4 linked regions of the Drosophila melanogaster genome follow. The protein of the gene in region 2 interacts with the protein of the main gene of each other region in a pairwise test. Each region holds a gene or a part of one and is shown on either strand. Other genes may lie near its edges. The genes, in order: Mad1, Spt, SamDC and Lk6.

Region 1 (6,252 bases), 370 kb from region 2:
TACCTTTTGAACTGTCTGCATCACATGCAAAGCTCGCTGGCTGTCTACGAATATATGGATGAGCGCGTGGAGCGGCTGCAGGCGCAGTCGGATGCCCAGTTGGACACACTGACCTCCGAGCAGGCATCATCGCTGGTGGCGAACCTCAATCTGGGTCCCATCTACGCCATTCTGCAGAGCAATCAATCTAAAATAGAAACAAACCTGCTGAAGATCTTCATGTCCAAGATGGACGCCTTTCTGGAACTACCCGATGTATTGCTCCTGCCGCAGGTGCAGCTCATAATGTCCAGCAGTCACCGGGCCGCCGTTCAGAAGCGATCCTTCAACGTGATCGTGGCCATCTACAAGCAGATCTACGAACGCGTCCACGATCCGGCCAACGGCTTCGAGCAGCCGGAGCAGCTGCTGCACAGAACGCCGGAGCAGGTGGCTCACATCCTGACCTCCACTTAGTGGATTGGGTATTCCAATTTCTATTGTGCATTACTATAATTTATATGTATTTATATGTGGGGAAGTTTATTGTTAGCGTGGTAAAATAAAAAACCAATCGTATATCTGATGCGGACAAGAATAAGTTTCAATGCCTTCATACTCGGCTAGCTTAAGCTAAGACAGACTAAAGTAATGATGACCTAAGTCATCGTGACAGTGGCCTTTTGGAATAGTTCTAGGGTGAGGGCGGAAAAGAATGCGGGAAAGTTGCTGGCTGCCAGCTGCTGATCAATAGGTGGATTGAATGTGTGCGAATATGGCGACTCCAGTAGCGCCAAACAGTTCGATTCGTTGAGGCTGATGTCCAGATAGTCATCCGGTCCCTCTGCAAACATGCTCGATATGCTGCAAGAGAAATATTAAATGTTAGCAACTAAGATGGAGGATCTATGGAATCGCTACCCACCGATAGTTGCTGTTGGCACCGATTCGATCGATCCTATAGCCTAGCAGCATGTAGCACACATCGCGGAACTCCTCTCGGGCCGCCTTGAAGCAATCCCTCATCTTCCGCATCTTGCCATTGGCGGACTCTAATTCGGCTTGAAGTTGATTGAACTCCTTAAAGTTCAGTGTCATGCCGCCCGTGCTGGTGGTTTCATTGAGCCTTTGCTCGTTATCGTCCTCCAACTTCTTGTTGCGCCGCTTGAGTCGCTCAATCTCCGCCTGCAGCTTCTCCATCATGTTTTTGGTGGACTCATAGGCTTCGGCAGCGGGATTTTCACTAAAGTGTACCACCTTGAAGTCCTTCATGTTGAAGTCGCCCCGCAAGCAGCGGTGCATCATCTCCATCTCCAGTTCCTCCTTGCGCCGACGCAGCCGATCGTTTTCCATCCGCAGCGTATCCAGTTCCTTTTTGACGCTATCGTATCCCTCTCCGGCAGGTTCGTTCACAAGCTCCTGCTGGCGCAAGGATTGAATCTCGCGTTCCAACGTGGCACACATGTCCTTGTATCCGGTTACGGTGCGTTCAAGCACCTCCATTCGGACCCGCACCTGCATGTCCTGCGTCATGTCCGCCACACTGGCATTGCTCAGGGTCGTGTCCTTGTCGAAGTTTTCCACCAGTTGTTTGTAGAAGTCGCGCTCCTTAGACACGGTGATCAGTTTGCGCTGCAGTCGCTCCTTGAAGTTCTTGTGGCGTTTCAGTCCGATATTGAGATCCTCGATGTTCTTCAAGTAAATGGCGCACTTATGCTCTAGATCTCGAATTGTGGTCTATAAAATGGAGTCAGATAAATTGGACTTGGAACACATTGGACAAAACCTACATTCAAATGCTTGGTATCCGAAGCCGATGATGTCTTCTCTGCCACGTGAATGATGTCTTCTTTTAGCAGTTGCTCAATGCGCGAGCGTAGGGCCATTGGGCTGACCAAAGTGTTGGCCAAGCAGTGATCCTGGGCCACCTTGACCCATTCCTTGAGTTCTTGCTCCATGTGAAGCAGTTTCACCTGCAGGGAAGCTGCTTCCGCCCGAGCACCTTCCTCCCGCTCCAGTCGCGTTTTGTAGTCGTAGACCTGCTCCTCCAGAAGCAATTTATCGCCTATCAGAGTGTTTAAATGCTTGTTGTGGCTGCGCAGATGCTCCACCTCAGCTAGCAAATCTGGAACACTGGCCAGGCGCTCTCGTGAGGTTTTGACCACCTCCTTCCAGTCGCTATACGACTGAATTTCGAACTCCAGCTCCTGAATGCGATCGTTGGCCACCTTCAAGCTTTGCGTTTGCTTCTCGTGATTGGCGCGCAGCTGCTCGAATCCGGAAGCCCTGGCCTGTAACTCCTCATTGAGTTGACGTAGGCGCTCCAGTTCGTTGCGCGTAGACTGCAGTTCGAGATCGGCCCGCTGGGCTATGCGGCGATATTCGCTCAGTTCGTTGTTGATGCACAGGTGCACATCGCGGGCATCCTCCTTCTGCAGGTACTTCTCCTTCTGCAACTTGAGCGTGGATTCATCGAACTTAAGCCTAAGTTGGTTCAACTCGGCGGTGGCCCGACTGGCCTCATTCTTCAAGACCAGCTCTCGCTTACGAAGCGCCTTAAGATCGTCCTGCAGCTCCAAATTCTTCTTGCTGGTGATGTCGCACTGATCCTTTAAGGCCGTGCTCTTGTTCTCAGCCAGCAATATGGCCTCTTTGTGTTCCCGGCTCTTCTTTTCGATTTCGTTACGCAGCTGAATTACTATGGCCTTGGTTTCGATCAGCTCGGTCCGTAGTTTGCTGTTCTGCAAAGAAGCCATGGAATCGTTGGCGGGCATATTGAGGGAAGAGGCGGTGTCGTTAAGACTGCGTTCCGGTGATTCCCGTTCCCGACGTCGCTTATTGGGTGCTAGTAGAGGAGTTACTTGTTAGTTTCTACGTTCGCGCCTGTAAATTACAACTTACAAACTCCTAAATCGAAGGAGGCGGAAAGCCGGTTGAAAAGTAGTTTCTTGGGTGCCGAATGGGTAATGCTGTCGTTAAAGCGGTCCATCATATCATCTATGCTGCTACGTATGTCGTCCATTTTAAGTTGTATGTGGGAGACCTTAGTTGACGTTTTCAGTAAAGATATTTACTTTTTATTGCTAAAAGAAGTTGGTAAAATATTAATCTTAGAGTGGCTGCAAATATTTAGACAAGAAATGCCAAATATTGGTCATATTTTATTAGTATTAAAGTGGCCGATAACTTTGGCTTTTGTATCCAAAATTGTCACCAATAATCAAATATACGTATATTAATCTGGGAAATAATATCTTAAAAGGGACAGTTGTCTTAAGCAATTTCTTTATTTGGTGTGTTAATATAAAATCAAGAAAACAAATCAAAAGCTAAGTTGGCAGCCCAGTTTAGTATATTCGAGCGTGACTCTTTTCTGCACCACCCAAAAGTATGTTACACGAAATACTACAGGTAAAAGAAATCGCAATCGATAACGATAGTTCTTCGAGTGTTGCCGAAAATAAAAATTGATTTGCATTTCTTCTCGGCTTAAAATGAATTAAATGTTATTGTTTCCGCACCGAAAAAACTCATAAATCGTTAAAACAACAAATTCCGAAATCGGAATTAATTCGAACAATTGAACAACTGCCAAAAACTAGAACGTATGTGAAGCGTGTGTGTCGTACATACCAAGAGATAAGGACAAAAAACGGTTAAAAGAAAGCTTTCAAGAAAGAGAGTATAGAAAATAAATTTTACTAAAGTAACAAAAAAAAAACAACGAAACGCGTGTGCGTGTGCAACAAAAAAGTGTATGTCAAATAAGAAAATGTGGCTCCAGCGATAACGGTACTCCAATGTGCTCTCTCGCACGCACACAGAAGCATCCCGCACACGTACACCACCACCACTGCCAAAAAGCAAATCCTGCCCAACAGCCGCACCTATAAAAGTGGGCGTGGGTTGACCCAAGTTACTGTAACAAATTTGCAAAAAGTGATGCATGCTAATTGTTTAAACAAATCCCAGCTTTCCTAATCAAATACCTTTGCGAATTCCAATACACACCTATACACACATACCCACGCAGTGATTGGTGTGGAGAGGAAGAAGGAAAGGAAGCCAAAGGACAGGATAGAAAAGCAAGAGGAAGAACGAAACAGCATCGGCGCGTTGGAGAAATGTGCGGGAAGAGAAGATTGAAAATAAACGTGTAGTAGAGAATTTTTGAGACACTCACACGCACACACTCCTCCCACACTCTTTCTCTCTGTCTCTCCGTCTATACCGCTTGCCGCCTACACACACACATACTTAAGTAGACGCACGAGAGTTCTCGTATCGCGAAAAGCGTGTGCTTTGTTGTTGCCTCTCCCACTCCCTCGCTCTAAGAGGCGCTCCCGTGTTGTTTTTGTTGTTATTGCCGCTGAGCAAATGGCAGACCCTCTAAGCGGGTGCCGCTGGTGATAACATGTCGTAATGGCCAGAGAGGTAAGTGCAAACGTGCTAAAAGCAAAGCAAAGCCGGCAACTACGGCTTAACCGTTTTAGTTTTCCCGATCACCACGGTACCGCAAGTTACTTTGCCAAAATCAGCTGTTCTCACTTCATCACCATCCCCCATCATTCACATCTGCAACCAACGGTGTTAGCCTCTCCCAACATTAAAACAGTTAACCCTATGTCATATTTTTCCAAAGAAGTTTAACCCAACACTACAACTTAATAATAAAAATGCTGCGTGTAACAAATAATTATTCTCTGTAGGAATGAATTTTTTAATTAAGCAGTAGAAACAAAATAATCAAAAATAATACTAGGTAATAGATTTTTTTTAATAACATGCAATTTGAACAAAGTAAAATTTATAATATATTTTAATATTTCTTTGACTTGGTCTTTGTAGATATTTTGTTCTTTACGTGGTCAGCTGAACGAAAGATAGGTTCTTTATAGAGCAACACAACAGGATGCATGAATAAATCAACTTCTAGAGAAGATTAGGCAAATTTTTATTTTGCTGCTTGAGTATGGGTGCAATGGATACGATTCATGCCTGGCCTAAACTACAGGCACTCTGCTCCATCTATGTGAATTTTTCATATGACAACCTTTGGCGAGTGTATCTAGCAAGGCGTATCGCTGCGGATGCTCCGCACTCGCGTCCGCATCCGCTAGAGAAACCTATTAAGCCTGTGGCCCGCATTAGTCTCTTTGTGTGCGTGTCCCTCAAGCTCCTGCTCTGCATATGTGTGTGTGTTTGTGCATGTTTTATGCAGTTCCTTCGTTTCGTTTTGCTTTGCGGGTGAGTGAATAGCTTTGACCCAAATAACTGAGGTAATACTTACGCCTCACAGATGTGCCACTCCCCCAACGCCCTCCTTTCCCGCCGCCTCCATCCCACGTGTGGCTGCAACTGTTGTTCTTCTTCCTCTTCTCGCGCCCCCTTTGAAAGGAATTTCGCTCTCTGGCCTTTCCAAAATTGTTGCTTTGAGAGGATGTCTCCAAAAATAAATTAGTTGCGAATTCCCAAAGCGCTGGAATTCCTTTAAGAGCTGATAAAAATGCAGCCGAGATGGCTTTCAGTTGGCAGTTGATCTGGCATTATTTAGGATAAACAAAACAACTTTATCTCTCCTTCTTCTTACTGCAATTAAAAATCTCGGCCAGCAGCAATTACAGGAGTTTTAGTGCTCTGTTATCCATTCACATTTACAGCTGGCAATGCTTTTGCGAGAGGTAGAGAGCTTCATATAAAAGTGCATCACTCTCTCTCTGTCTCACCCTTTTTATTAAAAGACTTCAATGTTTAATGCTAGAGTTTAAATGTCGAGCAAGATCAGGTCTAAAAGAAAGCTAAATATTTTCCTGGGGCACACAATCCAATAGCAACACTATTAATTGAACGCCGTTGATTGGAAGTAAATGTTTACAAAATCAAACTGATGGGATCTTATGAAATGCTGGTAAAGCGTTTCGAGGGAGAAGGTGCGCGCGCTTTGGCGTCCTGATTATATCACATTGATGCAAATGTAGGCCAAAGCACGACGAAATATCTTTACCTGTTAAAACATCGAAAATTATGGAAAAAAAGGTAGTAAATGGGAAATAGTGGGGTGGATAAAACAAATACGGTTTAATTGGGGACCTAAAAACTGAAGGCATTAAATTGACTAGATAGTAGTAACGGGATTTCTACCCCCACTCCTCCACCTGTCCTACTCGCTCTCGCAAAGCTTTGTGCTGCATTTCACCTCGTTCTCACTGCACTTCTCTCGCGCTTATGCCTCGTGCTCATTTCAAGCGCTGTTAACGCGCTGCAAAAACGCAC
Region 2 (5,831 bases):
ATGGAATGCGGGTTATCCTTACCGACTTGTAGTGCTGGTTGATGTCCGAGGCGGCCTTCAGAAGCAGATAGACAAACACAAGGGCGAACAGGTAAATAATGGGCTCCGCTGTGTTACTCTTCTTGCCAACTTCCTTCTTCTTGTGCCCCTCCGGGGACTTTATCAAACGACGAGGTTGCTTGCTGACCCCATTTCCAGTGCCGTTTTTGGTTCTCTTCGTGGGCCTGCCTTGGGATCTTCTTGAAACTGCCTGATTCCGATTGGATTCCTTTCCGAAAACGTCCAACCTCTGGCACGATGCATCTGGAGCGGCGACATCCAATTCGGCGTCGGCCATGGCTTCCGGCTGGGCATGGTGCAGGTCGAAGGCAGCCACGCCCGGCTTAAAATAGTGCCTGTAGTTGCGCTGCATCCCGGCTACCATGAGATACACAGTGCAGAGCACCACGAGGATCCCCAGCGGCACCACATGATGGTTATTTGTATCCGTGTCCCTACTCACGGCACTTGCTTTTCGGTGTTTGGGAGAACAAGGCGGTGGCCCAATCTCTTCGGACAGAGCAAATTTATCGCCGGCCAGAGATTTCATAGCCGAGTGCTTACTGTTTACCAAGCAATTACCGTGTGTATCTGTTGACTGCGAGTCCTGGCTGCCGCTCGTGGTGGAAAATCGATAGGGATTGCCCACACAGCTTCACATGTTGGGTTGAACGAGGGTGTCCAGTGCAATTGAAAGGTCAATCGACCGAGGGAGATGCGCTGACAAGTGTGCTATGTGTCTATATATTTATTGGAACCTATTGCTCTACTTTTACAACAGTCTAAACTGTTTCCGATGCGATACTCTTCGCCACCCGAGGAACATACATGTTTGTGTGTATGCCTGACCTGACCTATGACATTCAGGTGGCGACGTACGTTAAGTTTGAATTGCAAAATCTCTTAAATGGTATGAACTTAAACACTAAACTAAATAAAAAGTTATGTACAAATGGTTGAAATGCTTCAGCATTCAAAGTATCCATTGGACATTCCAGTGAGTTGGTCGAGTATATCTAAAAATATACGAAATTTAATGGAAAAACTTATAAAATAGGAAATGTAATCATTTTAGGTACCTGTGATTTGTAGATCCGTAGACTGATTACTCATGGAGGTGTATAGCTTTCTGCTTTCAGCTATATTCTGCCGCTTGAACATGACAGTCCGTAAACTTTCTCCTGAAAATAGCATTCAAAACATTGGTAACCTTACCAAATTTATCTAAACATCAGCCGACTTACTTCTCAGAACATTTCCATGGGGTTTTGCCTTATCCGATTTAATGTCCAAGGTATTTGTGGGTAGCTTGTTGTCCGTTCGTCTAGTTACTCTATTCCTACGCTCTGTGTCGTAGAGGATACTGCCGCTTCGGGCTGTTTTATAGCCAGTGAAATGGGTTTCGTCTTCATTTACCCCCTTGGTATCATCAGCTAAAAGGGGAGCCAGGGGAATAGGAAGTTCCTCCTCTTGTTTACCAGCTCCCAGGGAGCCGTGCAATTTGCGCAAGATCGTGCGCAAGATCTTGAAGCGCTTGAGGATTCTCTGCGGCTCCACCTGGGATGCGCACATCAAAATAGCCTTGCACTCGCGCAGTACCCGGATGAACTGCTGGTAGTACTCTTCCCCCAATCGGTCCTGCGTTTCGCTTAGACCCTTTCGGTTGACTTCCAGCTGAAAGTGCTCGACTAGCAGCAAAGAGATTTGAACCAAGTCCTCCAATCGCTGCTTATCGAAAAGCTTTTCCGTTGCACTTATCCCTGAGGTCAGTATCTCCAGGCAACAACCAACGAGGGCGCGGCTGTCGATGATCTCCTGAAGCGCTGCCTTGAACTTGGCCACCTCCTCGTTAAAGTGCTGCTCTAGGATGTCCGAGTGCAAATCGGAACCATGGGCCTGCAGTGAAGGTATCAGAGTGGTGTCCAGTGATTCAAAGGAGGCCAGACAGCTGCGCATTATGGTTTTCACTGAAAAGGAATTGGTACTGGAGTTAATTGCGTTTTTTTTTATAATTATATATAATTATTATACTTTTCAAGTTGGGCGCAAAGGAAATGGCAAAAATGCCTATCTGGGTGGCGCGATCTATGTTCACATCAAAGTCCGCTATGAACTCATCGGCCAGATCATCATTATCTGGGCTGTTCCTTAACAGCGCTCTAATTTTGTCTACCGAAAACTTCTCGAAGTCCAGGAAGCATGTGAATACCAAGCGCAAAAGCGCATCGTTGATAAAGTCCTCCAATTGGTAAATTGCCTGTTCCATGGTCATGGCCCGCAGCTTAAGGGTGGACAGGTAGTTGGCACTGAATGACTCCTTGCACTCCTCCTGAAAGGCATTGCACTCCCGGATGACCTAGAGCACAAATGAGGGGAATAAATAAGGGGATACTGCAGAAGATGTACACCCACCTTTTGGCACAAGGCACTGAGAGCCCTCTTGTCCTGAGACAAAGCCACATTGGCGAATCCCAGAGATTGACCCAAGATCAAATCAATGTTGGCGCGCAACTTCTGGCTGAGTGGAAGGACTTCCTTGGGAGTCTTTGGACAGTTGGAGGTATCGGTGTTTTCCTCACTGTGCGAGGTGAACTGCGCCAAACAATCCAATGCGCCATCCACCAGCTTAAGGAACGAGCGCTCCGGAGCTACTGCTTCGGAACTCGATTCTTCGCTGTAAAGATGCATGAGGCGCTTCAGGCACCAGCGAATGCGGTCCAGGAAGTACTGATGACTTACCTGCTTTCAGAGGATTAGACATCATTGTGCAATGCATGGATGAGATCCAAATTACTCACCGAGACTGTGGTGCCGCATTCTAGTTTCATGGTGTTCTCCACTTGGCGAATGCAGATCATAATCTGGCTGAGGCAGAGGCACACCAGCTCCGAGCACTCCGACTGCCCCTGGGAGCAGAAGGAGCTGTGGGCCAAAGTAGCGAATTCCAATAGCACGGCGCACAGGTCCTGAAATTCAAAGCAACAAGTGATTGATGTCCTGGGGCTAGTGGTCCGTTTCCCCCACTTACATTCAGCCAGTTTGCAGCTGCTGCATTGTTCCTGTTCAGTATCAGCAGGCAGGCCTCTAGTTTCGTTCGCAAAATTTCCATTTTTGCCGGCAAATGTGAGTTCAAATGTTCTGTGGGCAGAAGTAAAAGTAAACAACTTTTTTAAAAAGTGGCTTCGGTTCCCTGTGAATGGCAAGATGGCACGGCTTGGCGTTAGTGACAACCAGGGAGGCTAGCTGCCTTCACCGCCACACGGTCCCACTGGACGCATCACTTTTTCGGTAGCAAAAACTTGTAGAAAATTGTCAATTCAATTCGCTGGTAGTTGTATATCCATGTGAAGCAGAGATAAGCTCCGCCAACTCTACCCGTCGCCCACGCCACGTCGCACAGTTGCGCCCCGCCACAAATATCGAAACCAGGCCTCACAGACCGCAAGCATACCCCAAAATGAGCTCCTCGAATGCGGGACAGCGCACGAAGCTAATTCAGGAGAAGTGCCAGACCCTCCTGACGCAGATGCTCCGCGACGAGGACAACAAGTACTGCGTGGACTGCGATGCCAAGGGTATGTTAATGGGGTCCACTTCTCCGCCAAGAGATACGCCTCTTGGTGACGCACATCTGTGTGCGTGCGTGCGTGGATATACACACCACACATGCAGCTGCACTGCGATATGAGCCTATGTGCTGTCACTGAATGCTACCTTTTATCCTTAGGTCCGCGCTGGGCCTCCTGGAACCTGGGCATGTTTCTCTGCATCCGCTGCGCCGGCATCCATCGCAATCTGGGCGTGCACATATCGCGCGTCAAGTCCGTCAACCTGGACACTTGGACGCCAGAGCAGGTGATCTCGCTGCAGCAGATGGGAAACTCGCGGGCTCGCGCCGTCTACGAGGCGCAGCTGCCGGACGGCTTCCGTCGCCCGCAGACGGACACAGCGCTGGAGAATTTCATCCGGGCCAAGTACGAGCACAAGAAGTACCTGGCCCGCGAGTGGGTGCCTCCCTCGCCGCCGAAAGTGGACTGGGCCAAGGAGATCGACGAGGAGCTTGAGCGCCAGAAGCGCAAGAAGAAGAGCACGCAGGCCCAGGCCACTTTGGGCCTGGCTGGAGTGGCCGGTGGCAGCGGCGACAAGCGCCTGTCCGGGTCATCTGCGTCGGCGCTCAAGAACACCCCCCTGCCCGCGCCGCTTCCAAAGCCGAAACCCAACCAGGTCGGCGGCTGCAGCCCAAAGACGACGCAACGCGTCCAGCTGAACAGCAGCGGCGTTAGCAGTGCCGGCGAAAGCGACCTCTTGGGACTGTCCTCGCCCACCAAGCCCATTGTCGCGACCAATGCCAGCCAAGACCTGCAAAACGAAAGTTTCACCAGCTTTCTCAGCGCCGAATCGATTGCCGGCCAGCCGGATAAGCCGATTGGCAGCAACGGCGACGCCGCCAATTTGATGGGCTCGAAGCCGAACTCGCTGGCACAAGAGGAGCAGGACTTCTTCAACCAGGGCTCACTGGGCGCCGGCGGCAACGAGAAGGATCAGTCTGGCAAGATGTCCAAGGACAGCATTCTGGCGCTGTACGGCAGCGCGCCAGCCACCCACAACCCCCAGATGAACTTTGGCGGCTTCACGGGCATGGCCCCAGGCGGCTATATGCACCAGCAGCAGCAACAGCAGATCCCCCACCAGTTTATGACACCGCCGAACTCGGTGAGCATGTATAATTCGCCAGTTATGGCTGCACCGAATGCGTTCAGCAATGCTGCCATCAGCAGTGCCACTGCGATGAGCATGGGCGGCTCCCATGGCTTTACTGGAGCCCAGTTTCCCAGCACCGGGGGCAGTCCCTATGCTGCCGCAGGCCAGGCAGCTGCAACAAATCTTATGCAAACGAACCAGAGCATTCTCAGTGGGATGCCGCTCTTTGGAGCTGTTCCGCAACAGCAGCAGCAACATCAGCAGCAGCTTCAGCAGCAACATCACCCACAGCTTGGCGGCCTCTCCATGAACTTAATGCAGCCCCTGCCCAGTGGGCTGAACATTGGCCAACCGCCACAAGGAGCGGGCGGATTTGCCGCAACGGGGCCCACCACCTCCTCAGTACCGTCAAATCTGAACCAGCAGTTTGGGAATCTTAATATCGGTAATGTGTGGCAATAAATACGCGGTGTATTTATGTAGTTGTATTCCTTTAATTAATTGTAAGACACGAGTGTTCGGTTCGTCTCGGTGTTGCAACATGTGTGTGTGAGACGGCGATGCTTGTTTATATACATTCGATTTATACAACAACTTGCCAATTTAGTTAGTTGTCCTATTCGTGTTCGTAGAAGAATTCATTGTCGAGCAAGCCACTGTATTAAACGATGTTCATGTCCATGTCCATCTCCATGTCCACCAGGAATCGCGTCTGCTCGTCTAAATCTATTCCAATTAAATCATAAAAGGTACATACATACGCGTGTAACACCCAACTACTTAAAATTGAAAATTGAACCACAGAACGTAATGCACTTTCCAATCAAATGTACATGTTATTTTTCAACATTAGCTAGGTATTTGATACGCATGCATTCAAAATCGTCCACGCCAGGGTACGAATGTAAGGTGTAGACTTCTGGCGCAGTACTTTTTAAATGCTTGATATCCTTAAGAACTTATTCACGCCTGTTTGTCAATGTGAATCTAAAATATCATGGCGGGTTGTCAACGGATTTATTGTATTCGATTCTTAAGTTGCTATGTCTAAGGAAGAAATCAAACCACTTCGAACTGTGTAATAATAAAAT
Region 3 (5,576 bases), on a different chromosome or scaffold from region 2:
TAGAAAGACTCCGGATAGCTTAAGCTCGGATCACGCCACAGATGCGGCAACTACTCAACTCTGGCAGGCACTGGCCAGATCAGCCGGTACGTATTATTATCCGACCACTGACCGCATATTATTATGAAAAACATTTCAATTTGATAGCTAAAAGCAAGGAGGACAATCCGGCATCACAAATATTTCGAAATATGATGAGCCAGCCTTTCGCGTTTCCGGTTCCGTCGACAGTATCATTTACAAAAGTACCTGAAGAACCCATAGCACTATTAAAGGTAAACTATTTCTTCTATTTCAAGTAGCAAGTAGCTATAGGAAAGTCTAATACTCTTTGTGTTCTTAGGATCTATCAGAGGCTCAATCCAGCAAATCAAAACCATGTAGAAGAAAACAAAGTTTTCCTACCAAAACTGATTGCATCGATGTAGTTAATGAGAATGTGACTGATACTTATACCACTTCAGAAGCAACTCCGGATGATAAGAAAGATAAAAGGGTACGTTATCACAGTCATCCTCATTGAATCACATACTAATTATATTATTTCTTGGTTCAATTCCGATTTCGTAGAACATAAACCTTTTTAATGCCATACCTGGTGCTCAAAAAGATATGTCATGTTCGAATTGTGGCACCCTCACCACAACAATTTGGCGGCGAAGTGTTCGAGGAGAGATGGTGTGCAACGCCTGCGGATTGTACTTCAAGCTGCATGGGGTCAACAGGCCGCATTCAATGAGACGCGATACCATACACACCAGACGCAGGCGTCCTAAAGAATTGGAGCGATCTAAAAAGAGTGAGTGAGAGTTCGAAATTTATCTACATTTTTCGATTCGAAAGCTAGCCCTCTGTGACCCATAGATTTATTTATTTTTTGAGTATCTAACAATGAAAACAATTTGTTTACTTAATGTTTTTTTTTTATGTTCCCTGACCATTTTATTGTTGGTAATTAAATGTAACTTGCCAAAACAATTTATTTTTCTGTTAATATGTTCATTAAGCTATTGATTTAGCAATCGGAATATTAACCGCGTACCCACCCAAAATATTTTCTTGCTTGTCCAATCATATTTTATGATGTCATTGTTGTAGATGGCATTGGACGTGCCTGTTAAGTCGTTAAACTGCTCAAGTTTGAATAAATATCTACGAGCCTTTCATTATTAATTGTATGATTTATTTGCGAAAATTATAAATATACACTTTCTTTTGCAGAACACAAACAAATGTCATCATGTTCTTCAATAGAAACAACGAAGCAAGATTTCTTGACGGCTAGGGAATCTCTAGCCATTTCGGGCCTTGTTTTAAATGTATGTATCTGCACTATTACTTTAAAGTCTTGATAAGTAGATTGATCAACTAGATCTATTTGCATAAGATTTAAATACACTTAAACTTCAATTTTCTAATATGTTTTTATTTTAGAAATTCAAAAAGGAAATTGATGATACCGAGACCCCAGCCGCAGCAGCACTTAAAGATATTTTATCAAGGCGTAAGAAGTCAAATTCTTTGCCGGCGTTTAATGATACCTGTGAAAGTGCGGATCTATCCGCACCGCTTAACCTTGTTTCCAGTGAAAATAATGCAAAGTTAACATAAAACGCCAAATATATTCCCCCTACTCACTTTTCGAAAAAAAAAGAAGAACCTTTAACCCACATTTTGTTTATTTATGAGGTCGCGTAAGAGAGAAAAACAAATGGTATAGGATTAAAAATACGTATAGATTATTAATAAAATTTTCATTCTTTAAAACTAAATTTTATTCATTTGTATCTTTAAAAACTAATACCAAAATACTTATTAGTGTAAAAGAGGTATGAAAATTGAACCAGTATGTCAAAACTTTTAAATAATATCACACTAAATATAGACCTTAAGAGAGGACATCAATACTTAATGCAATTAAATTAAAAATAAAATTTATTATATTTATATTTATTAAAACCATTTTACAGTATTTTTAATTTTTTAATAACACAAATCGCTTCTATTAAAATGAAAAGTTCAGTTTTAACAATGATTTTTCAGCTGTCTTTGCAATTGAACAACTTCTAAAGCTAAAAAATAATAATGTTTTAAATCTCTTGCCTATACGAAAATCATGTGATAATATAATAATCTCCACAAAACATTTTAATAGTAAAACTATGCAAAAAGCAATAATCACGCAATGCAAACTTTTCAAGGAAATATTTAAATTATATACAATTATAAGAAACTAAAAAACTTAATGCTGTTTTCGAATCTACATAAATTGTCTAAATAAAATAAGGACTTCATAATAGGCTAAGATACAAAAAATATTACTCATTTATTTTTTCAAATAAAATACTCTATACAATTTTTAACAATCACAATAAAACTGGTTAATGTAAAATGAAAATCCAAATTCTACTGTTTTTTTTTAACTATTTGCCTGGGGTATGGGATAAGCAACCGAAAAATCTGTTAAACTAATGATGAGAATTTGAAAAAATATATATTAAAGATATTTAAGTATCTTAATTCGAATAGAAAGGGACTTACATTTTTACCGCCGACTGTTCAATGAGAAATGCTGTAAGTGGAAACATGCTGTTAGACTCCCGAATTATCGATGTAGTACAACAAGCACTCGCATCGATAGTCCCATCGTTTACTTTACATCACCAGGCGTTGTTTTGGTATCAGATCAGATCCATTTGTTATTGCCAGCCAGCAGCATGTTGGAGAACGGTTCGCACTTCTTCGAGGGCGTTGAGAAACTCCTTGAGATTTGGTTTGAGGAGAGCTCCAACGGTGACGATGATCTGCGTAACATCAGCAGGTGAGTCCCTCAACAAGTGCGGAACCCAAACAGCCGACATGTCCTTTGTGCACAAGTGCATGCACAGTTGCGGGCAAAAGTATACGTACATATGCGCCGTTCATTTTCGTCCTGAAAAGAAATGAAATGTATTTCTACACTGATAATTATCTTTTAAACATAACATAGTCCCATTGGAATAGGTTACACATTGGTTTTTAGGCTTATCAGATGCGGCACACGTGTACCTACCCAAATTAAATTGAAGTTTTTATTTATGATTCTCAAGATATACAAATTTGATTTGAAATTTCAAGAAATTAGTTATTAAAGGGAATTTCTTTTTAAACTGGCAGCCTGTAGAACTTTGTAAATTCACTTAGAATTAAGCTTTCAAAAATCGGTCTTAACCCTTGGCCTTGTTTGATAACGAGTTTTAATCAATCCCATTAATCCAATCCTCATTATCTCAAAATAAATTTTGGTCGAGGCATTGTGTACATGTTTATTCAAATAGCCTTGAACTTTTAATGAATGTAAATGATATTTTTCAGATCTGATTGGGAAAACGTGCTTAGCAATGTCAACTGTCAAATAATAAGCACATCCAAAAACGACATTATTGATGCTTTTGTGTTAAGGTATGCGAATATATAAAACTAAACTTAATAAAATATTATTAATTATTTTAAATTTGTATTCGGTGCGAGCAGTGAGAGCAGTATGTTTGTTTCAAAGCGACGATGGATCCTTAAAACTTGTGGAACGACTACTCCATTGAAATGCCTGGGTCAGTTGCTTAAGCTGGCTGAGGCCAATGGATACAATGTGGTCGCAGACTTGTTCTACTCGCGAAAAAATTTCACTAGACCGGAGGCGCAGGTGGGCAAAAAAATTAATTGCATTTCAAATGATTTTATATCATATATATTCAGATAACTCCCCATCAAGGCTTTACGGAGGAAGTTACGTATCTGGACTCAATTTTTCCCAACGGAAGATCCTATTGTCTGGGCTCCATGAACCTGGAGTGTTGGTACCTCTACACTTTTAGTCGTTCTGATATCAAAATTACGCCCCAACTTATATCGGATGAGAAAAACGTTGACTCCGATCCAGATCAAACTATTGAAATATTAATGCAAGATCTAGATCCCGAAACCATGTCAATCTTCTATAAAAACAAGTTTAATGATGCTAATGGCGCTACTGTGGTATGAGGATATATTTTAAATGATTAAAACCAATACATATAGATTGTGATTTCAGAAATCTGGTATCGATACCATATTGCCGACTATGCACATTGATGACTTTTTGTTCGATCCTTGCGGCTACTCCATGAATGGAATCAACGATAAGGTAACATAGAAAAATTTTACAAGAACTATTGACATAAATTCTTTATAGGGGGAGTACATGACAATTCATATTACTCCGGAGAATCAATTTTCGTATGTGAGCTTCGAAACAAATGTGGCTCTAAGTAACTATCGTAAACTTATCAATCAAGTAATCAATACTTTCAAGCCGGGAAAGTTTATTGTAACCATCTTTGCCAATAAGGTAAGCTGTTGCTCCACTTTTTGTATAATTATTTAAAATAATTTTCGAATATTGTGGATCAGTGCTCGTTGGCCTACGAAACTATGAAGGAACTGGAAGTGGAGTACTCACAGGGATCGCACTGGAAACGAACCGACATGCAATGTTGCAACTTTCCATCTTACAATCTTCTGTTTGCACAATATTCCCACAGTGAGAAAACTGGTGATAATTTATAAAATTCCAAAGCCAACAGCAATTGTGATTGTTTTGCGTATGTCTAACAAAATTTATTTTTCGTTCGTTATTAATTATTCAAAATAAATGTCGAATAAATAAAATAATAAATACTACTACTACTAAATAACGTACAATTACTTTTTAAATAGACTGTTAATATAAAATACTAAAATATACCAACACCCTGGATAATTCGCAAATTCCAAATGTAGCAAATAATTATCGGATCTGAACAAGTGTCACAGGCAAAGTTCCATCCCTAGCAGTATTTGACAAGTCGGCCCAAAAGAAAAATAAAAATGAGTGCGATTTCTAATGAAGACATTATTTGGACCATAAAGAACGGAGAGTTCGATGCTGTGCAAGACGCTTTTCAGAATGATGTGCGCTGCTAATACTCTAAATAATTTTGGAATTAATTAATTCTATTTGTATACAGGCACAAAAGGTGAATGAGGAAATCAAGGGCCGTTTTCCAGTACACTATGCAGCAGATTTTGGACAACTGAATGTCCTGGAGTTTCTTATAAGCTTAGGAGCAGACATAAATGTAAGTAGCTCACAATGCCAAATTACTCGGCCATGAATCATTAATGTTTCGTCAGTTACTGGTTTCATATATTAGTGTACATATATACACGTCTGCACCACCTTCATTTGTTTAGTCATAGTCTCAAGCTAAACAAATGAACCAGGTGTGCACCTAAGACATGCCGGTCTTCGTATAATAATAGAACTTAATTGTAATTAACTAATATTTATTGAAGAGAAAGGACAAACATGGTATTACCCCCATTCTGGCTGCCATTTGGGAAGGACATACGAGCTGTGTGGAATTACTTCTAAAAATGGTTTGTGCTTCCTTGTTTCTACATATACGCCAAATAAACATGTTTTCGATTGCAGGGAGCTGATAAAAATGGTTCTACTCCAGATGGCCAAAGCTACCTCGAGGCGGCGGAAAAAGACGAGATTAAGAAACTCCTTGCAT
Region 4 (6,064 bases), on a different chromosome or scaffold from region 2:
CCGATACTGATACCTGTACCTCCACCGATACCTGTGTTATCACACAACCTGGCCAATAAGCCCACGCACACCAACGCATCGGCGGCGGAAAGAGAGCGGCGATAAAGCCACATCATATTGGACACAGAACCAGTTTTGACAAAAAGTCGCTTTGTGGTTGTGTCCGACACGCCGCAAGCAAAACAAAAACAGCAACAGGAAAAACAATAACAAAGCGACAAACCGAGAAGCGGTCGAAAGAGAGAGACTAAAGTTTAAGAGAGCGGCACAGGAAGAGACCGGTGCGGGAGAGCGTTACATGATGCAATTAAGTTCTTGTAAAAAGAGAGTACACAGGAAGAAATATGGTTGTGGCATATGATTGATTTTTAACGGTTAGAGCATAGTTTTACAGTGGCACATAAACTAAACGTATTTCACTGAACAGCCTAATGTTTTCATATTTAGCTAATTTGAAGTAAACAAGTTATTTTTCTTTCAGTGCAGAGAGAGCCCTGTTTCATTGTTTTTGTACGTTTTGGAGTGTGAGAGCGCGATGCCCGAGAAAATGTCGTGAAAGACGTGGAGCAGAGGTGCGAGGGAGAGAGACAGACTCCAACACCAATGCCAATGCATACCAATGAAGGTGGTGTGATGTGCGCGAGTTCTGTTTAAAAGCAAACAAGTGGAAAGGGCAAACAGCAAAACAAAAACTACATTTAACTTGCTTTGTTTTCGTTTTGCACAGTAAACAACACATATGCCTCAGCTGACGTTTTTTCCACTGCGGCATTGCCACAGCTAAAAAATAAATTTCTCTCTCAGGGCTTTTGCGCAAACGAGCAAGGGAGACAGAGATATATTGGGCTGATTTCATGAATCGGAGGAGGCTGCACGTAGGCACCACTAGATGTCCTCCTATCGATAGGCCTCGATAGAATGAAAAACTTCTCGATAATTATGGAAAATTATTATGGATCGTTGGGGGGAAAACAAGTTTCCAGCTGGTGGGCTCCAATTGACAGCGTTTTGCACTCAGTTGATTGCAGCTGCAAAATCCACTCCAGCACAACTCCTAATGGGCGCACACATTTTATATGTGTGGGAGGCCAAGCAACGAACGTCACACCAAGTGCAATAAACGTCATGAAGGTTATAATCGTAGTTTGTTCACATTTCGCCGCGTTCGCTGCATTTTGGGCACGAATACGCATTTGAACACGAGTGTCAGTGCATTACGCTCAATCGATCAGCCATCATGAGTCATTTTCCATTTCCATAACTGCCTGCACACGCTCAATTTCAATTTCTCGGTCTCGGCTAGCTGGCACAGATACTAGTGCCGTCTCTCTCACTTCGCCGGCAGCTTTGGTGGTGTTGGTGGAATGGCAGGGAAAAGGAATACCCTTTTGTGCTTGGAATCTAGTATTGCTTAAATTGATAATCATATTATGCGAATTTATACCAGTCAACTGGTCTAATTACAAAGGGTAACTATTGGTGCTGAAATCTACATATGTATGTGTGAATATATTCCTATTGTACAGCAGTTTACCCATATGGATTTCATGATTTTTCAAAGCAGCTCACTTATGCCCGATTTTATAGGATATTAGTGGAATTAGTGGATGTCAGTGGTCCAACCCAACCGTATCTAGCATATTTACACAACAATCTGTCCTGTTTCATAAGATTATCTTTGATAAACACAAAGTATGGACTATAATCACTATCTAAACGAAAACAACAAACTTCTAGTTTAACCTCCAGTTAGAATATGACTAATTAGTGGATTTAGTTGATCTTTGTCATTGTTATTTTATAGCATATATCAAATCCCACATATAATTAAGAACTTGTGTACAATAATAACACCCCCAGTGATGGTTATAAAGTCCAGATGCTGGAATACCCCTAAAATTAGGGCACATACACACTTATATTCAGCTTAATGGCCCCAGTCGAATGATGCAATGGGGTTCTCTTGGCGAAACAAAACAACTGTAAACACCACACAGACTGTGCGGGGTGGGTGAAGGGAAGCGGAGTGGGTGGTGGGGTTGGGCGCCGGCAGGCAGACAGCATGCATGTTCTCGAACATCGTGTGACGTCAAGGAAATACACTGCGGCACCCGGTGCGCAACGTGGCCCAGTCAGTCAATGCTCCCTAGTTCGTTCGATTGATTAGCAAGGGTAAACGAAACGAAAGTGCTGCCTGGCCCAGCTTTGCCGATAACTGACTAGAAATCCACTGAATGAAAGCGTAGGAGCAATGGTCGGGTCTTTTCTCTGATTGGTAGTCAGTCCCCACCCAATGACAAGCAGAATAATACATACATATGGTTAGGAACTTTAGAGGAAGTATAACTTCCGATACAAAATATTACATTAACGTATATCTTTTTTTTACCATTGCATTTTAGCAGAAATATCCTACAAATCGTATTTTATAGGTACAACTTTAAGAAGCAAAGAACGTTTGTCACATTCTCAAAATAATAATTATATGCTTAAATAAGGCTTTTGTTTTCTTTTGGCATGCAAATAACTGTTGCCTACGAAATATACTTTATATTTAGGCAATACAACAATATTACGACAGAGATACAGGTGAATTTCCAATAGGTAGAAGTTCAAATTTATACGAAAGAGCTGCCAAATTCACAGTCAGAGCAAATATTTGCAATTATTTCATCATTCTGTTAACATGTTGTCTAGTTAAAATTAAACTGGTGACACACGAAGCGCAAATATGCGAAATCTCTTCAGAAGGTTTCCAAAATATATCTCATGCATCACAGTTTGCTTCTCAGCTATGGGAATTTAGTGTCAAACTCCCAGAGTTCTAGAAACTCAAATTGCTCACCTGACTGACTCTGGCTGCAGCTGTTGTCCGTGTTGCTGCAGGAAATGCCGCTGCCACTCCGGATGCCGCTGTCCCCAGATCCACGGGGGTGGTTGTTGTTATTGTTGTTGCTTGCTTTCGCAGCAGCGGCAGAAGCAGCTGTCCCGGACTTGGGCTCCACCATGTTGTTGCTGTTGTTGTTACTGTACGGTGCTCCTGGACGCGATTAGAGTGAGACAGGCAGAGTGCTTACAAGCTGGAAAAAGGGTTTACGGTGCAACAAATGAGCAGCAGTTTTTCTCAGTCTCTCGTGCTCTTTCCTCTCTTCTCGTTCAGTTCATTCAAAATCAAAATGGTGGCCGCCTATGGGATTTTTGTGTTTTTAATACAATGCGGCGGTTGATGAAAAAACTGATTCAATTCTGCTGCAGATGCTCCTCTCTCTCTCTCTCTCTATCTATCGCTCTCCGCTGTTTATTTATTCTTGGTTTGGTGGTTGAGTCGTCGTTGGTGTGGCTGCTGTTGTTGTTGTAATCGATGGCTGCTGCTGATTTCTCTCATCACACAGGCGAAAAAAGCTCAAGCAAAAAATGGGGTTTATCTATTTGCACCGCTTTTTTCGGTTATCTGCGATATTTTTTGTTTTTTTCTTCGGGTATTGCGATTTTTGCGTTTCACCTCTTCTTTGTGGGCTTGGTGCAGTAGTGCTGTTGCTGTGGTTGTTGCTCTTGTAGTTGTTGGTGAGATGGTTGTTGTAGTGATGGAGGCGTTAATTTAGTTCTATTTTATTTTCCGGAGCTGCTGGAGATGGCTGGTGTGGCGGTGGAGTTGGTCGTTAAAATTTCCTCTGCTGATTACAACACAAAAAAAATCGCTGAATAGCGGACAAAAGCCGTTTTCTTTGCGTATTTCGCTTTAAGTTTCCTTCCCAGCTACCGATCCATTTTCAAAGTTCGAATGATTCCGACGAATGACGACGAATTCATCCGTGTGGCCGGAGGTACCATTTTGGTAGGACCGTTTTTCGGGCCAACGAAAATACCACAAGACGGCAGCGACACTAGGGTTTTTTGCTTCAAATGTAGTATGGCTACGCAACTCACATATGGTTGAGAACTTCGCTGTTTATTTGGTGGTTAAACTAGCTAAATACAATAAGAGTGGCAACGCCGTCACGTTTTCTACATGTATTTTACTTGGCGTAGTGCGCCAAGCTTATAAACCACAGTTGGGCGGTTCTTTTGAATTGTTTAATTTACACCCCACTATGAAACTTATTAGCCTTCTTTATTTATTTTATATTTTATTTTTGGGAAGAATACGTTTACTCAAGGTTCGCAGCTTGTCAATCAGTATTCGCAAATATCAATAATAAAAGGCATCAATTTTCCAATCAGCAGTTGAAAAGAACTCCCCTCGACATTTGAACAAAATGCATTTTTGGGTGATTATAATTTATTAGAATTTTTATTGACTTAAGGTAAATATAAATAAAATATTATTCAAGTACAAAGTTATATATACTCATTAATATTATTTGATTCAAGTAAATATATTTCAAAGTGGCGGTGTTTTATTATATCATTTTTCAATTAAGTACAATTTACTGTTCCTGCTCTATTTCTATGGGTTCGCAGAGAGTCCAAAAGTACTCTTAACACTCGGTCCTGTAAGGTGTGTATAATTTTCGGGCAGGCCATTTTCGGATTTGGCCCGACCGGAAAATATTGCGAGCCATTGACGACGCACCTGCAAGTTTTAAACCTGGCTTATTGACTCGTGATTTCCTCGTCTTTGAGACCCGGGGATCGAGTACTTGTGGGTACTTTGCGAACCCGGACTTCAAACCTTGCCCATGCAACAATTGTATCTTTGTGTAGTTTACGTTTAATCAATGAATTTGGATCACAAACAGTAAATACGTCTTTAACGATAATTGCAGTTGAATTAAACATATTAAGATAAGGGTAGTGGGGTGGGGGTACCTTTGTTTTAATTATAAAAATATTATATCTGCATTTTACATGTTTTTGTTTCGCTACTATCGTTTTTGCTCGAAATTACATAAGTCCAGCCTTAAAACAAGTAATTTTCGTCACCAATCGCATTCGCGCACGCTCCATTATCCATAACACTCGGTTTCGTCATCAATTCAATTCAATTCAATTTTGCATTTAAACGCTACGTTGCCTTAACTTCAGTCCTTTCGCAGAAAATCTAACCCTTAAATGTATTTAGCTCTTCGCCCGTCGATCCTTTTTCTTCCCTCCTTCCTTCCTTCACATCCCCCGCATGCTGCAGACACTAAACATAAATTCAATACGTACAGTTTCAAATTGGATGCGCGGCATCGTATCGTCGTTTAATGTAAAAGGTGTAATGCTACGCGCCCTTTTCGTCTGATCCTTGCCCTAAATGCCATCCTAGGGTATTAATCCATCCACCTCTAACTACAATTTAACTTCTCTTTGGCCGCAAACCCCCCGCATTACTTATTTAGCTCCTGTAAATATGAACTGCTTATGTTTCGCTTACGCTCCTTCGATCATTTTTGTGTTTGCTTTTGTTTTTGTGTTTATAATTTATTTAAATGCACTAAAAGTTGCACGGACCGTTTGCCAGCAGCCTGTGAAGTCGATCGTCGTCGGTTCGGCTGTGTTGCGATCTAGATCTATCCTGTAATTGTCGATTTTATACCTTCGATAAGCCAATGAAGTGTGAGAAAATATGTATCTATTTCGTCATTTGTTTGTTCGTTCGTTATGCATTTTAGTTGGTTGATGATGGTTCGTTTTGCGTTTATAAAATGCCAAAATTTGTGCAAATTTCTAAAACATTTTTAGTTTGTTCTTCTCGTATTATTCTAAAATATTTGTAACTTTAAAATGTACTTCCTCATTAGATTAAATTTTTCTTTTCTTTTCTTTTCTTTTGTTTTGTTTCATTTTTCTTTTCTTTTTTCACTTCGTTTAAAATATTGCATTTTTATTTTATGTTTTTCTTTTGGAGGCTTTATCCCTGAGTGATTTAATTTCATTTGTTTGTCATTTATTGCAACTTTTTCTTTATAAACTTATTGTTTTATATTTTCTTATTCGATTTAGTGTGTCAAGAAAAATAGATAGAGAGAGAGAGAGAGAGTGAGTGAGACCGAGAAAATCAATGGCAAAATAAAAACTCCTTGTTTGCTGTGAAGGTTGCTTAATTATTTATATGTTGTTACGTTATTGTTTACCAAAT

What was found.
Region 1: the proteins of Spt (region 2) and Mad1 interact in a two-hybrid assay, tested with the Drosophila melanogaster proteins (one large-scale study listed by BioGRID).
Region 3: the proteins of Spt (region 2) and SamDC interact in a two-hybrid assay, tested with the Drosophila melanogaster proteins (one large-scale study listed by BioGRID).
Region 4: the proteins of Spt (region 2) and Lk6 interact in a two-hybrid assay, tested with the Drosophila melanogaster proteins (one large-scale study listed by BioGRID).

What each region holds. Positions count from the first base shown.
Region 1 is NT_033778.4:9,288,457-9,294,708, forward strand, and holds Mad1 (mitotic arrest-deficient 1), read right to left. Parts: upstream 3,110-6,252; 5' UTR 3,002-3,109; coding exon 2,881-3,001; intron 2,825-2,880; coding exon 1,770-2,824; intron 1,717-1,769; coding exon 905-1,716; intron 844-904; coding exon 639-843; 3' UTR 501-638; downstream 1-500. Other genes in the region: Cog6 (component of oligomeric golgi complex 6), read left to right, coding at 1-456.
Region 2 is NT_033778.4:8,919,502-8,925,332, forward strand, and holds Spt (spitting image), read right to left. Parts: upstream 3,255-5,831; 5' UTR 3,149-3,254; coding exon 3,068-3,148; intron 3,006-3,067; coding exon 2,838-3,005; intron 2,779-2,837; coding exon 2,452-2,778; intron 2,396-2,451; coding exon 2,071-2,395; intron 2,007-2,070; coding exon 1,284-2,006; intron 1,221-1,283; coding exon 1,119-1,220; intron 1,056-1,118; coding exon 1,006-1,055; 3' UTR 769-1,005; downstream 1-768. Other genes in the region: CG8248 (uncharacterized protein), read right to left, coding at 23-589; CG8243 (uncharacterized protein), read left to right, coding at 3,497-3,614, 3,767-5,202.
Region 3 is NT_033779.5:10,336,798-10,342,373, forward strand, and holds SamDC (S-adenosylmethionine decarboxylase), read left to right. Parts: upstream 1-2,659; 5' UTR 2,660-2,717; coding exon 2,718-2,821; intron 2,822-3,354; coding exon 3,355-3,441; intron 3,442-3,513; coding exon 3,514-3,682; intron 3,683-3,735; coding exon 3,736-4,014; intron 4,015-4,069; coding exon 4,070-4,162; intron 4,163-4,210; coding exon 4,211-4,366; intron 4,367-4,428; coding exon 4,429-4,584; 3' UTR 4,585-4,706; downstream 4,707-5,576. Other genes in the region: GATAd, read left to right, coding at 1-86, 148-275, 344-496, 571-799, 1,222-1,319, 1,435-1,611; CG31715 (uncharacterized protein), read left to right, coding at 4,885-4,968, 5,025-5,135, 5,353-5,436, 5,492-5,576.
Region 4 is NT_033777.3:11,760,639-11,766,702, forward strand, and holds the start of Lk6 (Lk6 kinase), read right to left. Parts: upstream 3,820-6,064; 5' UTR 3,009-3,819; coding exon 2,846-3,008; intron 1-2,845.